Arabidopsis thaliana: one gene and its partners. The protein of the gene in region 1 interacts with the protein of each later gene in a pairwise test. Each region holds a gene or a part of one and is shown in the gene's direction. Other genes may lie near its edges.

Evidence for each region. Proteins that work in one complex are often made in the same cells at the same time.
Region 2: the proteins of AT1G77350 (region 1) and NRT1.7 interact in a protein complementation assay, tested with the Arabidopsis thaliana proteins (one large-scale study listed by BioGRID).
Region 3: the proteins of AT1G77350 (region 1) and AT1G30080 interact in a protein complementation assay, tested with the Arabidopsis thaliana proteins (one large-scale study listed by BioGRID).

Annotation. Positions count from the first base shown.
Region 1 is NC_003070.9:29,068,389-29,072,587, forward strand, and holds AT1G77350 (keratinocyte-associated-like protein), read left to right. Parts: upstream 1-1,836; 5' UTR 1,837-1,975; intron 1,976-2,093; 5' UTR 2,094-2,108; coding exon 2,109-2,267; intron 2,268-2,435; coding exon 2,436-2,487; intron 2,488-2,881; coding exon 2,882-2,948; intron 2,949-3,066; coding exon 3,067-3,157; 3' UTR 3,158-3,511; downstream 3,512-4,199. Other genes in the region: AT1G77340 (Pentatricopeptide repeat (PPR) superfamily protein), read right to left, coding at 232-1,440; APPR6 (Tetratricopeptide repeat (TPR)-like superfamily protein), read right to left, coding at 3,595-4,199.
Region 2 is NC_003070.9:26,313,675-26,320,881, forward strand, and holds NRT1.7 (nitrate transporter 1.7), read left to right. Parts: upstream 1-2,112; 5' UTR 2,113-2,533; coding exon 2,534-2,720; intron 2,721-3,285; coding exon 3,286-3,503; intron 3,504-4,844; coding exon 4,845-5,410; intron 5,411-5,531; coding exon 5,532-6,423; 3' UTR 6,424-6,559; downstream 6,560-7,207. UniProt on the Arabidopsis thaliana protein: Low-affinity proton-dependent nitrate transporter. Not involved in dipeptides transport, but has a weak glucosinolate transport activity. Involved in phloem loading and nitrate remobilization from the older leaves to other tissues.
Region 3 is NC_003070.9:10,550,207-10,554,966, reverse strand, and holds AT1G30080 (Glycosyl hydrolase superfamily protein), read left to right. Parts: upstream 1-1,671; 5' UTR 1,672-1,799; coding exon 1,800-1,872; intron 1,873-1,988; coding exon 1,989-2,331; intron 2,332-2,503; coding exon 2,504-3,227; coding exon of another isoform or gene 3,228-3,245; exon of another isoform or gene 3,246-3,649; coding exon 3,650-3,736; 3' UTR 3,737-4,112; downstream 4,113-4,760.

The DNA of each region.
Region 1 (4,199 bases):
GATTTCATCATCGCAATATCCACATCGAAGCAGTTTTTCGAAAACCGAGTTGACTCTCTCTTTTTCTCCTTCTTCACACAGCTTGCAAATCAACATTTTGCAAAACTCTAGTTGTGGTGAATGACCATTACATATCATATCTTCCACAACTTTTGCAGCTTCCTCATACTTTTGCAGCTTGTAGTAACATCTAAGAAGACCATTACAAATCTTCTCACTTAACGATATTCCTCATACTGTACGCTGGTTTGGAACCAATCCACTTTCTTCCATCAAACTAAGCAATCTATATGCACTATCTAAATTACCAGAGCTACACTGTCCAGCGATCAATGTATTATAAGTTATCAAGTCTGGAACCAAATTCTGCTCTAGCATCTTACTAAGCAGTCCCATTGCTTTGTGCACATTCTTCTTACAAAAACCTTTGATCAATGCATTGTATGTAATAACATTTGGCATCAACCCATTCTCCAACATATGTTCTAGCAATCCACTTGCTTCATCAAGTGTATCTCCACTACAAAAACTCTGAATAAGCACAGTATACATACAATCATCAGGCTTAATGCCACTCTCTGACATCTGCTTAAACAAATTCATAGCTTCTGACTTCTGTCCTGATCCACACAAAGCATCTATAAGCACTGTGTATGTTCGAACATTAGGACAACAATTGTCATCTTTCATTTTCACCAATAAGCTCAAAGCTTCATCGATCTTCTTTGCTTCAAATAGACCATATATAAGCTGAGTGTAAGAAACCTCATTTCTATGGCAACCGTTCTGAGTCATCTCCTTAAAAACCTTAAAAGCCGCATCGACTTCTTTTCTTCGACAATGTCCGGTAATAAAAGAAGTATATGTGAAATAATCAGGATCACATCCAGCTTGAATAAGCCAAGTCACATACTGCTTTGCTTCTACTACATATCCAAGCTTACAATACCCATTAACCAATGTGTTAAACGTGTATATGTCTGGAGAAACCAAATCCTCCAACATTTCAGTATAAAGTCTCTTCATTTCTTCGACTAATCCAAATCTAGCTAATGAACTCAACAGATTATTGTAGCATTTAGGAGTAAGTTTATATTTAATCTCGAAGCTATCACCTTTACGCATTGTCCTACAGAAATCAACAACAAACAAAGCGTCTCGCACTGAATTGCAGCTCTTTATCATTAAGATCGTGATCTTAGGCACCTCATAAGGTATTTCCTGGCTGCAGAGAAGAGTAACCAAAGACGCGTATGAAGTAACGTTGTGCTTGAAGTTTGGTATCCGAGAGATCCAATCCGAGAAACTGAGAGCTGTCTGAGGATCAAGATTGAGTGAAAACAGAGAAGAGACATGAGAAGGTGTATAGAAGGGGTAAGAGATTTTAGAGATGGATTGTTCTGCCAATTTGGTTCGGAGACAATTGAGAGTAATCGGCATGGAAGATTAGAGGGGTTAGACTCTGCTGTTGAGATAGTACTTGTAACTTTGTAAGCAGAGATGCGGCGGTGGATAATGGCCTTCGACGGAGAAGGTAGCCGGAAGAAGTAGAAGGAGATTTGGAAGTAGTAATCTCATCGTCGGTTGATTCGACGGTAAGTTGTACTTCCAGTTCAAGCAACAGTAGGGTTTAGGGTTTATGAATCAGTGAATGCAAGCAAAACCTCAAACCCGGTACAATGCTACGTTTGGTATTCTGCATTGGTTTATTAATTAAACCCAAACTCAAGTGGCATGTACAATACTACGTCAGTTGTTTGTATAAAACGACAGCGTTTGAAACCGCGACTGGTCCGTCAGGGTATATATGTAATATATACGATAAACATGTATTTTATGGTCAATGCGAATTCCCAATTTTCCCATTTCTTAAAATCTCTTCTCGATCTCCTTTGTTTCCGATTTGCCGGTCTTCGAAGTGGAACTGTGGCAGTGACGAGCGTGAGGAGAAGATCTGATCTTTAGGGCTTTCAAGGTAACTCATCACATTCTTCTATCTGTTGATTTCTCGTTTTCCGACCAGTGGATCAATCGATCAGTTTTGTACGAATTCGTGTCTGATTATCTGTTACGGTCTTAATTTGATTGTTTAGTTTGGATTTAGAAGCATGGCAGGAGCTGTTGGAACATCAATGTTAGGGTCTCTTATTGTGTTTACAGTGATCCTCTCGCTTCAGGAAATTTACAGAGGAAAATTAGCTTCTTCAGAGCTGTTCACGATCCTTGGTGGATTCACAAGCTCTCTCCTCTTTTTGTTTTCTCTCACTGTAAGTTCCTTAGAATTCCTCAACTTGATCTCGTCTTCATGGAAATGCACTACCTTTACAACTCCAATGTTGATCTGTGTCGTTAAATTTGAGATCTTTTGTTTTCTTCTCGAATTCATCTACATTTGTTGTTGACAGTTTGGTTGATGCGGTTTCTTTTACTTTCAGTTCATTGGAAATTTTCAGGAATCTTCTGGCATCAAGAGTGGTTGGGGTGCAGGTATGTCCTTGCTTCTTCATGAAATCAAATTTGTTCATACGATCAAAACCATTGGGTGTCTACTCTACCCCATTTTGTCTTCCACTTCAGAAGTTTGAGGGCTTAAGAGTGGAATTTTTGAATCTTTGATGATGATGCTCTAAGTTTACTTTCTGATAACATATTACGAAAACTCTTACTTTTATGTGTTACAAATACTCTTTTAGTGAATCAGTTGTTGGAACCAAATTTTTTTCATTCTTATGTCTTTTTCTGTATCACCTATATAAGAATCACAGTGATAAATGGCTCGAATTTGTTTGCCCCCTCCTGCTTCTGCTGTGTGAAAGTGGGTATACTCATTACTCAACAAGGGTTTGCAATGTATTGAAGCCAATTTTTGTTTCCATGGCAGTCATTCTTGCAGAAATCATAGCTCTTATCGCTGCTGGCACGGTTCATCGGGTTTGTATCACAACCTGGTAAGTGGAAATTCACTAGTTCTACTTGGTATATCCATTTACCCTGTTTAATTACTTCATTCCTCTCTTGCTAAAAGCGGTGTGGTGATTGTGATGCTGTTTCTTGATCTGCCTGCAGTTTCCTGTTCTCTGCTGGGCTATTGTACGAGGTGAACAAGATCTCTGGATACATGCTATCCAAAACCGAGTCAAAGTCTAAGAGACACTGAACCTGATAATGGAATTGATACGGCTTATTATTCTGGACTTAGATTTGTTTGGCACTTGAAGATGCAAAAACACTTTCAACATCATGAATTGTGATACTTAGAAACCCTAAATTCAAAATCCACATCTTATGCTTGATGTGAGTATTAGGTCTGTTTCCTTTGCAGCTTATAATCATAGAGATAATCATTTTAGTTGTGTCTTATGTTCTTGGAGAAACTGAATTGTGTCTTTTGGCCTCGACATCGTATCATCCGCAACCAGACACATCAAATGGTTTGTATCATCTATATTTTAATATCTCATGTATCGAAACCGCAACAATTGCTGATTCCAATTTAAATTACAACTTTACCAAGGTAAATGGAGCCTGAGCCAAATGCTTAGGATCAGCTGTTGTTAGCGTACTAATCTGTGGTTCACAGGAAATCTAAGAAAGTCAATCACACAACGGCTCATTGACCAAAACGTTCATCTTCTCATTAAGGAACTTGAGCACATCTTCTCTCTCTTCTTTGATAAGCAGCTGTCTTAATCTACCAAACGTTACACCCGATGGTCGAATCCCCATCTCGATCATCTCCTCTAACAAAACACAAGCTTTCTGAGTGGTACGCTCCTCGCACAACCCATTAATAAGAACCGAGAATGTATGCATACTAGGGAACACCCCTTTCTTCCTCATGTATTTCCACACTTTATCCGCTGTCTCCATCTCTTTCTTTTCACAAAACATCTTGATCACCATCGTGTAAGTGTCTGCATCTGGTTCACACACTTTAATCATCTTCCTAAAGACATCAAAAGCTTCGTCTTTCTCCCCTCGTTCTATTAGATGGCGTAGAATGATGTTACATGACTTGGAGTTAGGCGTCACACCTTTACTCTTCATTTCTTTCAAAACCCTATACACATTCTTCATCCTATTTGCTTTGCAAAATGCACCGATCAATGAATTGAAAACTGCTACATCGGCTTTCATTCCACTTCTTTCCATCTCGAGGAAAGTATCAACCGCCTCTTCAAGCCGGTTCTCAGTTCCAT
Region 2 (7,207 bases), 2.8 Mb from region 1:
CAATTCTTTTGAATATAGTTTTATGATATAATCATGAAAACCTATATTTAGATTTGCTTAGGACTCTAAATATATCACAATGGATACGATCTTGAAATCCCACTTATTTCATCTAACTCCCCAAAAAAAGAAAAAAAAGATGAATTTGTTATGCACAACTGGATTATAAAAAATCGACTTTTATATCAAAAACCTGAATTCAATCTAACAGTATATACTACAAAAAAATGATCAAATGTTTATATATGTAGGTGCAAATATTTTCCTATAACATACTTGAGATAGTAACTTAAGAAATGATTAATAATTATGTTTCTTTCAGCAGGGTCAAAAATGTATTCCCACATTTAACATGCTTTAGTAAGTAATTATGGTATACTTTATAAGAGGATATTATATAAATATCTCTTAGTATAACCATATGAAGTCGGTAGATATGATCCTCTCAAATACAAAATAGAAAAAGTGAGCTTTCTAAGAGTTGGAGTTATCTATCAAACTCCATATACATTTTTCGTTATTCGATCATGACCATTAAAATGCATATGTTTGATAGTGACCCGCACCACACAGCTCAGCATATTGAGACAGATTAGTAAAAGCAGTCCAAACCTTAGGCACCCAGTCCACGGTTCATATCATCTGACCATTGAGAATGGTGAAGAGAGATAAGATGATCGAACGGTGTACAATAATATGACCATAAAATCGAACGGTGATACGGTATAGGATCCCACGTAAAGGTCCAAACAAAAAAAAATTAATAAAGAAGAAAAGACAAAGAGGGTTTGCGTAGAAATTTGATGGCTCGCGCATGCGACAGTGTTAGGCACTTGCATTTGCCTAAAAGGCGATAAAAGCCTACCTCATCTTATCGTATTTCTCTTTCTGTTTCTGTCTTCACTCACCGATTTTTATGTTTGTGTTCAATTTGAATTTTACAAGTTTGGTTGGACTTAATCTTTCCTTTAACATAAACATTCAATGATAATTTTATTATTAATGTTCATTTCTTGTGAAGATTTTCATTGTTTCTATATATAATATATATTTTACATTGAGAAAAAAAAATGATGCGAATTGTTTTGAAGTTGAAGTGGTTGATTAATATTTTTTTCTACAATAAATCAATGAAAATTTAGAATTGAAAAATATCTAGACATGGAATTTCTCAACTCAACATCTAGATAAACATATGTACCACACATTCGAGCAATCGTATAAAATTATATACGAATAAATAGAATTAGTTTCTTTCTCGGAAATTCTGTTAATATTTTTAGGAGGATTAAGTGGGTTCGAAATTTAATCACTTCCTGCACAAATTCATCTCAATGTATTAATTGGTGATATGTCATTTTTTTATTTTATTTTTTGGTATGAGCTTCCAAAGTTTTAAGGCCAGCTCTATATGTGTACTATTGTTTCTAACTTTATTATATTAAATTTTGGTGATATGTGTTTCTTTGTTTGATTGCAACCCAAAATAGTTTAAGGTTCATCTTAGAGTGCGATGACTTTTTGTGCAAAAATATTAGATCATGTTGGTATGTACGTTTTGAGTTTTATTTATTTGTTTACCAATTGAACGACTCTCAACAAGCAATTGTATGCCAAGATGACATATTGGACGTTTCAAGTGTGTGAATTGTATAAAGCAGTAAATAAAATCTACTCTTATTAACTAGTTTGAAAGAGAGTTTTAACTTCGAAGAATCTATCGCCATGAGTCAAAATCGTATAAATGTGACAAATGTTTATCTCTATCAATAATAGTAAAAATTTTAAAAGGTTCTATATAAATTTTAAGATTTTGTCAGGATCATTAAAGTGTAGAACTAAGTCAACTGATTGATTAATAGAAAAAATCGATACAATCTCACTTCCTTTAAGAAAATAAAAATAAAATATGCTTTAGAGAAAATAAAATCTCGCTTATTTATGAGATATCATATCATTTTTAGGTAAAAAAGATTAGATGTCCTTTTGAGACACATCATACCATATATATGACCGACAACACACATAAAACCGCGTGAACAAAAAATATCATCCATCAACCCCTTACGATGCAAATGTACTGTAAAAGATGGTTCATTAATTTAACATCGTATTTTAACGTTACAATTGTATGGAACATGGAAGGTTCACAATACGTGGAACAAAACAATAATGTTACGTACGGTGTAAGAAAAACAAAAAAAACATAGCACTAAAATAGTTTTCTTTTAATTTTCCTCTTCAAACTTCTCACGTGGAGGCTACTAGTGGCGAACGTCATTCAAATTTACCCACACCCACCATATATTATCTACTCACTCCCTTATATATACACACTTCCACAAATAATTCACTACACCCAAAAAAGCTTCTAACAAAGAGAAAGTGTCTGTATGTTGTGCCCACTCTCTACATTTATCAATCACTTCATGTGTGTTACCTTGATTGCAAAAAAGTGAGAATATATTCTCACAACATTAAATCCACCCCGAAATCGAAGTGAGTATATCACGAGTGTAGTAATATCTTAGAGATGGTTTTGGAGGATAGAAAGGACGGTTCTTCTTTGCCGGGACGATCCGGTAGTTTCTCTAAATCGTCACCGTCGGAGTTGGATGTTGTTGATCCCTACAAGCGGATAAGTTCGCCGGGATCTATATTGGATGCTGAGAAGGTAGAGAAAAAGCCTGGAGGATGGAGAGCCGTCTCGTTCATTTTAGGTATTTTAATTTTATTTTTAGGCTTCGTGTACATAATTTAGTTTACCTAATCCTTGACCTTTCCTCAGTTATTGGCTAATATTTTTTTGTTAATTTCCTTAATTGGATATATAGTTCTAGAAACCAGTTAATATATTATCATTGGGAGATGTAACGGGCCGTTGCAAGATCACGTTCTGCCTAAATCATTGCACATAATAGTCAGAACAAAAGAAATGAGCGCATAATCTTTTCAGCTCGATCAAAAATTATATTATATATTACTCTCGTAACCGTCGGTCCAACATGTTTGACACTCGTCTAGCTGACGACTTTATAACTGAAATGGAATAAAAATTTGTCATCATAAGTGCTCTTTTAGCCAAAATGTTAACTTTCATTTTAAATTATTTTATACTTTTAAATTTTTATAATATTTTATTTCTCTCTATTTAATGGAATATGATTAATTTTGTTAGTGATGATAATTACTAGATAAAATGGAGTATAATTGATATTCTTCAATAGAGGGATTATTTGTCGATTTATTTGCTGATAATATTTTGTAATAAAATGGGTTGAATAGGAAATGAGACGCTGGAGAGACTGGGATCGATAGGATTGTTGGCAAACTTCATGGTTTATCTAACCAAAGTGTTTCACTTAGAACAAGTCGACGCTGCAAATGTCATCAACATTTGGTCAGGTTTCACCAATCTCACTCCTCTCGTCGGAGCGTATATCTCAGACACTTATGTTGGCCGCTTCAAGACCATCGCTTTCGCCTCATTCGCCACTCTCCTCGTACGTATAATATTTTTTTATTTAACTTATTGAAAATTTTATATAATCTTTTTAAAAAACTAAAATAAAAATAAATAATCTAATGTGTCTACAAATACACAACATTTACGTACGTAGTAGTATTTACTTTATATGTTCCTAACACCTCAAATCCGCAACTATTCGCGGCCTACTGCCAGCATGGGTCAGTGCTTTAGCGTCCACTGTTCGAATAGTTGCATCCAACAAAAAACATAACAACTCTAAATAGAAAGTTCTATATTACTACTCAATTTACGTGTTTTTTTGTGTGTGTGGCGACGATACATGATACTTGGCACATAATTTCACCCCGCACGTGGACATGATAAGAAAATACGTATAGACAAATTAAATTAAGTATATATATATGTAAATGACAAAGTATTAACACTTTATATATTATTTTATACCTATTATGTTACTCTCTTTTTTTCTATATCAAAAGCTATTAAATTACTTTTGTATCGTACGAAAACGCATGAACTTATTGAGGGACCACGCTATCGAGGACGATAAGGTCGGTCAATAATGTGAATCATAAGAACAAAAGCATTAGTTAGTACACTTATTCTTGTCGGTATTTACCTTGAAAATTTATATAACATCCAAAAAAAATGGTAAGAAAATACTTATCTCACGTAAACATCTTTTGTTCATTGATGAAACATTTTCCAATAAAGGAGTTACGTATTAGAACGTGTTCTGTTTAAGAGATAAAGAGATGTGCGTAGAAAAGGAAGAGATACGCAAGTGGTCAATATAGATTATTGACAATGAGATTGTCCAATAATTGAGTGTTTGAGTTTCTTGATGATTTAGCTAGCTAGTTGGGTTTTAGATTTGGTCAGTATCACAGTGACGTTACGTATATAATAATAGTTACTTTTCTAGTGTCTGTTTCATTCACAATTATAGAATTATGATCGCATCCAACTTGTTAATTTCTCTTGCACTTTTTTGTCTTTTTCGTAATTAGTTAAACGTTGAACTTAAACTGTTACAAATGCTCATATTACTATATTAGGGTTACAACAGAAATAAATGATATTAGGTTCTACGTCACTGTCACTTTCACCTAATCAAGGTAACATCACTTTTCAATCATATGAAGTCAAACCTAATTAAGACTATTGTAAACTTTATTAATTGTTTGTATTTGTTCGCATAACTTCAATCTATATATCCCACACTACTGTTTGCTTTCTTCAATATTAATTAACAATCATTCAGTTTCAAGTTATATATTATAGAATATCTAATAATGAAGAATCGGTTTCAAAATTAATAATGACTGATTATAATTACATTGACAACATGCAGGGACTAATAACAATTACACTCACAGCATCGTTTCCTCAACTCCACCCAGCATCATGCAACAGCCAGGACCCACTCAGTTGCGGCGGTCCGAATAAGCTCCAGATCGGAGTTTTGCTATTGGGACTCTGTTTCCTCTCCGTAGGGAGTGGAGGAATACGACCTTGTAGCATCCCTTTTGGGGTTGATCAGTTTGACCAACGAACTGAGGAAGGGGTTAAAGGAGTGGCCAGTTTCTTCAACTGGTATTACATGACTTTCACTGTGGTTCTGATCATTACACAGACCGTAGTTGTGTATATCCAGGATCAAGTCAGTTGGATTATCGGTTTTAGTATCCCTACCGGACTCATGGCTCTTGCGGTTGTTATGTTTTTTGCCGGAATGAAGCGTTATGTCTACGTTAAACCAGAAGGAAGTATATTCTCTGGGATCGCTCAAGTTATCGTGGCAGCTCGTAAGAAGCGAAAGCTGAAACTTCCGGCGGAAGATGACGGCACTGTCACCTATTACGACCCAGCCATCAAGTCTAGCGTGTTATCCAAGTTACACCGCAGTAACCAATTCAGGTACTTAATATATGATTTTTGTTTTTATTTTTTGCTTATCACTTTCAAGGTGGTTTTAAGACAACACTGATTACATGATTTTGTATTAACCTATAGTCTAACTGAAATGGCATAAAATTAGGTGTCTTGACAAAGCCGCGGTGGTTATAGAAGGTGACCTAACACCCGAGGGACCTCCCGCAGACAAGTGGCGGTTATGCAGCGTCCAAGAAGTGGAAGAAGTGAAGTGTTTGATCCGAATTGTTCCTATCTGGTCGGCCGGAATAATCTCACTCGCGGCCATGACAACACAAGGCACTTTCACGGTCTCTCAAGCTTTGAAAATGGATCGAAACTTAGGTCCTAAATTCGAGATTCCGGCTGGTTCACTCTCCGTCATCTCTCTCCTCACAATCGGCATCTTTCTTCCCTTCTACGACCGCGTTTTTGTACCATTCATGCGGCGAATCACCGGCCATAAATCCGGAATCACACTCCTCCAAAGGATAGGAACAGGGATCGTTTTCGCGATCTTTTCTATGATCGTTGCGGGCATTGTGGAGCGTATGAGACGCATACGCTCCATCAATGCCGGAGATCCAACGGGAATGACTCCAATGTCGGTGTTTTGGCTTTCGCCGCAGCTAATTCTCATGGGACTATGTGAAGCATTCAATATCATCGGACAAATTGAGTTCTTCAACAGTCAGTTTCCAGAGCACATGAGAAGTATCGCTAACTCTCTCTTCTCTTTATCGTTCGCCGGTTCGAGCTACCTTAGTAGTTTCCTTGTGACTGTCGTTCATAAATTCTCCGGTGGGCATGATCGTCCGGATTGGCTAAACAAGAATCTCAACGCGGGAAAATTGGATTACTTCTATTATCTGATTGCGGTTTTGGGTGTGGTTAATCTGGTTTACTTTTGGTATTGTGCTCGGGGATACCGGTACAAGGTCGGTTTACCGATTGAAGACTTTGAGGAGGACAAGTCCTCCGATGATGTTGAGATGACTTCGAAGAAATCGATGAAATGATTTAATAGACTATCCTTAGGGACAACAAGAAGATTGTCGATGTTGTTTGAATAATTACTATGACAATGTATGTATCATAATATGTAAGAACTAGAATATTTAATAAAATTTTACCTTTCATTATGTAGAAGTGTTAGATATAGTTCACAGTTTTGTCTTATTTTATAACTTTGTCATCATACTCTCTGCCTGGAATCAGAAAACCATCTCTAACAAGTATATTTAAAATCATAAAAGTAATCTAGTTAGATGGATTGCATTTGGAACTATATCATATACACTATGTTATGACTTGATAGAAATATAAACAGTATAGTTTTAATTGATCATTTCTATGGAGGATCACGTTATTAGGCATAGTTTCATCCTTTATCGATTACGGACGGTAAATGAGTACAACCCAACTAATATGTTGTAAAGAAAAGCTACTACTGCTATTACTGTTAATATTAATATTAGACTTCTTGGGTACATAAAAAAAAAAAAAATATATATATATATATATATCATATTAGACTTCTAGAACACCAAGTCCAAAACATATTTGGCATGAAGCAAAAATATCTACTGCTTTATTTTGTGTCTACCTCTTTGCCACATGCTGTATATTCCATCATTCATTTAACCTACAATTGAATTCCGTTTTAACGTTTATTCACTCAATTAATATATTGGGGTTTGACAAAAATAAATAACTAGTATATAGGTTTGTATGCTTTTTTACTGTTAGCTAATAAATAGAAAATCCAAAAGAAGCTTTCATACAAAATCAACTAAATTAAAA
Region 3 (4,760 bases), about 19 Mb from region 1:
GAGGTATTAATTTATTGATAAATTAATATTTATTAATTTATAGAGAGATTTTCTTAATTTGGTAACTTTTTAAAAAAATTTATAAGATTTTTTTCATTATAAAAAATATATTTCTAGAACCAGTTACAAATAAAACATAATAATAATGTCTAGAAAACATTATTAAACAAATAACAAAAGTTTTGGTATAGTAAAATATGAAAACTATAATCAAACAAATAACAAATATGAATTTAAACAAAAAATTATTATAAATATATTTTAAAGAAATTTTTTACATATAATATATATATATAGTTGATATATTTATACAATTATTAATTTATGATATCGATGAGACCATATATTTACATAGAACTTTCCAAAAAATTATTATCTTATTAATTTATCGATTTGTGTCATTTTTTACACTAGTCCCAACTCGGGACCGGAAGAATTTATTAATTTATAAAGGTTATTAATTTATAGAGGTTATACTGTAGTAAGAAGTCCGTTCTATAAGAAAAGTAACAACCCAAACTTCCAAAAATCTGTACAAAATGAAGTTGAATTACAATTATCACCTGGTGTATAGTTAGAGCTTTTATTGTTTTAATATCAAACTGAAAGAAAAAAAAAATTGTTTCAGACAACTAAATTATTGGCTAGGGCCAATTAGGCTGTAAATTTACATATCAACTTTGATTAACTTTTCTTTTTGTAAACTTGTTTAAAACCGTTTTTTTCCATTGATTGATTAATCGAGTAATTAATTTATTTTATTTCATCTAAAACATAAATAATGAACCGTTGTGCAACCTAATTTTTTTTGTGATCGAGCGGGTTGACTAGATGAGTTAGGTTGAATTTAGAAATATTTACTTTTACATGTAAGCTAACGGTATATAAATTCTGAATTGAAACGTAGGATCAGTTTTAAATATGCGACTAAACTCCGTTGAATATCAAATATAGGATTAACTGAGGGTCATACTATAATTTCACGTGAAATACAATTCTAACAATCGTTACAATGTTTTTTAAAAGAGCTTTTATTTCACAAGATGCAAATTGCAATACTATATAAATATAATAAACTGAAGATAAGCGCACTATCCTTCTTATCATTATGATGGTGTGATTTCTACTCTTTACGTTCCATTTTTTTGGTTCACCCAACTACCAAATTTGGGATCCTCCAAATTCTATGCCAAAGACATAATGTTTTTTTTTTCTTTGTGTTTAATAGACATATTGTTAAGATTAAAAACCTATTATAGTGGGCAATTCAATTTTTCCCACCTTTGCCTTTGTCTGAAGAAAGTGTCTTCTTTTAGGCCACTTTTTCATTTTTTTTTTTTTTTGGACTGACATAGTTGGCAATGTGTTGGAAAGAGACAATCTAAGATGTCATATTTTTTTCTTCTTGGGTCCAAAATGTTTTATGAAACCCATGTTGCCTCACAAAGAATGTTTTTGGCAAACACTATCTATTTTTACAATAGACTTCCATAAGATAAACCTATTGCCAAACCTACTCCCATTACAAAACTAACGAGTATAAATTTAAATAACTTATTGAATTATTTTTGGAATTAATCATATTGTCACTTTTATTGTAGAAACCCTATGTCTCACCATAAAACAAAGGCAGGCAAAGTAAAGTATTATCTCTAAATTATAAATTAATAATTATTCGTCGCCTACTTGGTCCCATTTCTCAATTCTTCATCTCTATATCTATCCCCACATTTCATTGCATTGATTCTCTTACAAGCACTTTCTCCCTCAGTCTTTATCTCCCTCTTTCTCTCTTCTCCATGTCTAACATGTTTAGCAGAATTGCCATGACCAACTCTATCGTTCTTCTTCTATTTTCCTTGACTTTCTTAGGTATCGTTTTTGAATAATTGCTTATTTCTGTCTACCAACAAACAAAATTCATTATCTCAATTTCAGTTTGTCATTACACTTTAATTATTTAAATTTCTCTTACATTTTTTTCACAGAACATGGATTGTTGTTTCAAAGGGTCTCCTCTCTTGGCATCAACTATGGTCAAGTCGGCGACAATCTTCCTCCACCGGACAAAGTTCTACAACTCTTGAGTTCACTCCATATCAATAAGACAAGAATCTATGACACAAACCCTCGAGTGTTAACCTCATTTGCCAATTCCAATATCGAGCTCTTTGTCACCGTCGAAAATGAAATGCTTCCCAGCTTAGTAGACCCTCAACAAGCTCTCCAATGGGTCACTACCCGTATCAAACCCTACTTTCCGGCCACCAAGATCGGTGGTATCGCCGTCGGCAACGAACTATACACTGACGATGACTCAAGCCTTATAGGGTTTGTTACATACATCCCCTCATTCCTATAAATTGTTATCCTTTTCAAATCTTGGTCCATTACAAATATGCCCTACTAACCAAATCATGGTAGTCATGTGGGTATCATCCTGAGATCCTCTAGTTCAAAAAAAGAAGAAAGTATTCAACCTCGTTATTGCTATGATTCGCAGGTATCTTATGCCTGCAATGATGAGCATTCATGGGGCTTTGGTCCAAACCGGACTAGACAAGTACATTCAAGTATCGACTCCGAACTCACTATCCGTCCTTCAAGAATCTTACCCTCCATCCGCCGGATGTTTTAGGCCGGAAGTAGCTGGCGTAATGACACAGCTACTAGGTTTCTTGCGTAACACGAATTCCCCCTTCTGGATCAACGCTTACCCTTACTTCGCTTACAAGGATTCCCCAACAAAGATCCCATTAGACTACGTCCTCTTCAACCCTAACCCTGGAATGGTTGACCCCTATACCAAGTACCGCTATGACAACATGCTCTACGCTCAAGTAGACGCTGTGATCTTTGCCATGGCGAGGCTTGGCTTCAAAGACATCGAAGTTGGGGTCTCGGAGACTGGATGGCCGTCTAAAGGCGATGGAGATGAGGTTGGAGCCACTGTGGCCAACGCAGCCGTTTATAACAAAAATATTCTAAGGAGACAACTTCAAAATGAAGGAACGCCATTGAGACCAAACTTGAGTTTTGATGTTTATCTATTTGCTCTTTTCAATGAAGACCTTAAACCAGGACCAACCTCTGAGAGGAATTATGGATTGTATCAGCCTGATGAGACCATGACTTACAATGTAGGTTTATTATCGTCGTCATCATTAACATCAACATCAACTACTTCTTCAACTTCTATTATTTCCCTCACTTCCTCTGCCTCCACGGTATGTATCAACATTTAACTTTACTTGCTCTGTTTCTACTAGATCTCTTACTTCCATATTTCTTTCTTTTTAATCTTTATATAGCACATTAAATCCCTTGAAAAAAGCTTTGATTGAGAAACATTTTTAAAACAAATTCTGACCTGTTGTCTAAAAAAGAAGAGAATTGTGACGTTTCTTTCTTCTAATTGTGACGTTTTATACTTGAAAAGTTCGGCTTTTCTAGAACATATTCTTACCAAACATATTTATTTTAACATATTTCTTGATTAATAGCGATAAAGTATACATTTTTTTTGGAGCGATATGATTAGTACATGATATTTATGATTATCCTCACCATCTGATTTTTAGATACATATTAGTTAATTAAAAATTTGCGGTCTTAATTATTGCTTATTATGATATTTTAATTTAAACAGGCTTTAAAGAAGGGAAAGCAACGGTTGATGTATTGGACATGCGTTTATTTGTTGGCCATTCACATGCTAATTAGAAGATCGTACTAGAAGCAAAAACAAATTGAGAGAGCTTCTAAGTGTAAATAGAGAGTCCACTAATGCGGTCCAATTTTTCAACGAGAAGAATTAAATTATTCTCGAAAGTGTCTCAGATGATTCTTTAAAAGGGGAAAAAAACACTCAGAAAAATTGAGAAGGGAATGCAGTACTGCAAAGCGAATCCTATGTATAAAAAACTGACGATTCATATTATAGAACTTTATTTGTATTTGTCTTACTAACGTGTTAATTACTTTCGTTGTCTAAATAAAAAGTGACTAAAATTAATCATCAACTGATAAGGTATACAATAATGATTCGTATACAATAATGATTCATGAATCATATAAGAACGATCGTGTTTATTGTTTAAATCCAAAGGATACAATTTCATTTGAGGCATTTTAGTAACCACATTCATTGCATAATTTCATTTAAAATGTTTGATTTCACATTATGTACTACATATGAATCATATTTCAGAAAGCTAAAGAAATTACTCTAGATATAAAGAAGACCCCATATAGTACTACTTTTACGAGAAGCATAGAATATAATAATAATTATTACTAAGCAGAAAATATTGTCATTTTCAACGCTCCAAATATTACTTTAAAGTACATGATATATAATGTTATCATCAGATATCGTTTAACAGAAACAGAAAAAAAGAAAGATGATATCATATATTTTATATAGAAATTTATTGATTGGTCACACCGAAGGTGAAGGCTCTTTTATCTTTTACCTTTTATCTTTTGGACGTGGAATCCATAAACCTTAGACATACGATACCTTCCTTTTCCATCTCACCGTCAACATTCGATATTTTAATATATTGTCTGCTCTTACACATGCATGCATTATATCTGCATGTATATGTGGTATGGCTTCGTACGTGCACACACATGACACTACTCATACATGCATACATGACACATCTTACATGTATGAATATGTGTATATGTCATATGTGTGGTGGATACTCATTAATTCACCAATTGATGTAAAAGAGGAATGCTCCATTTTTCTA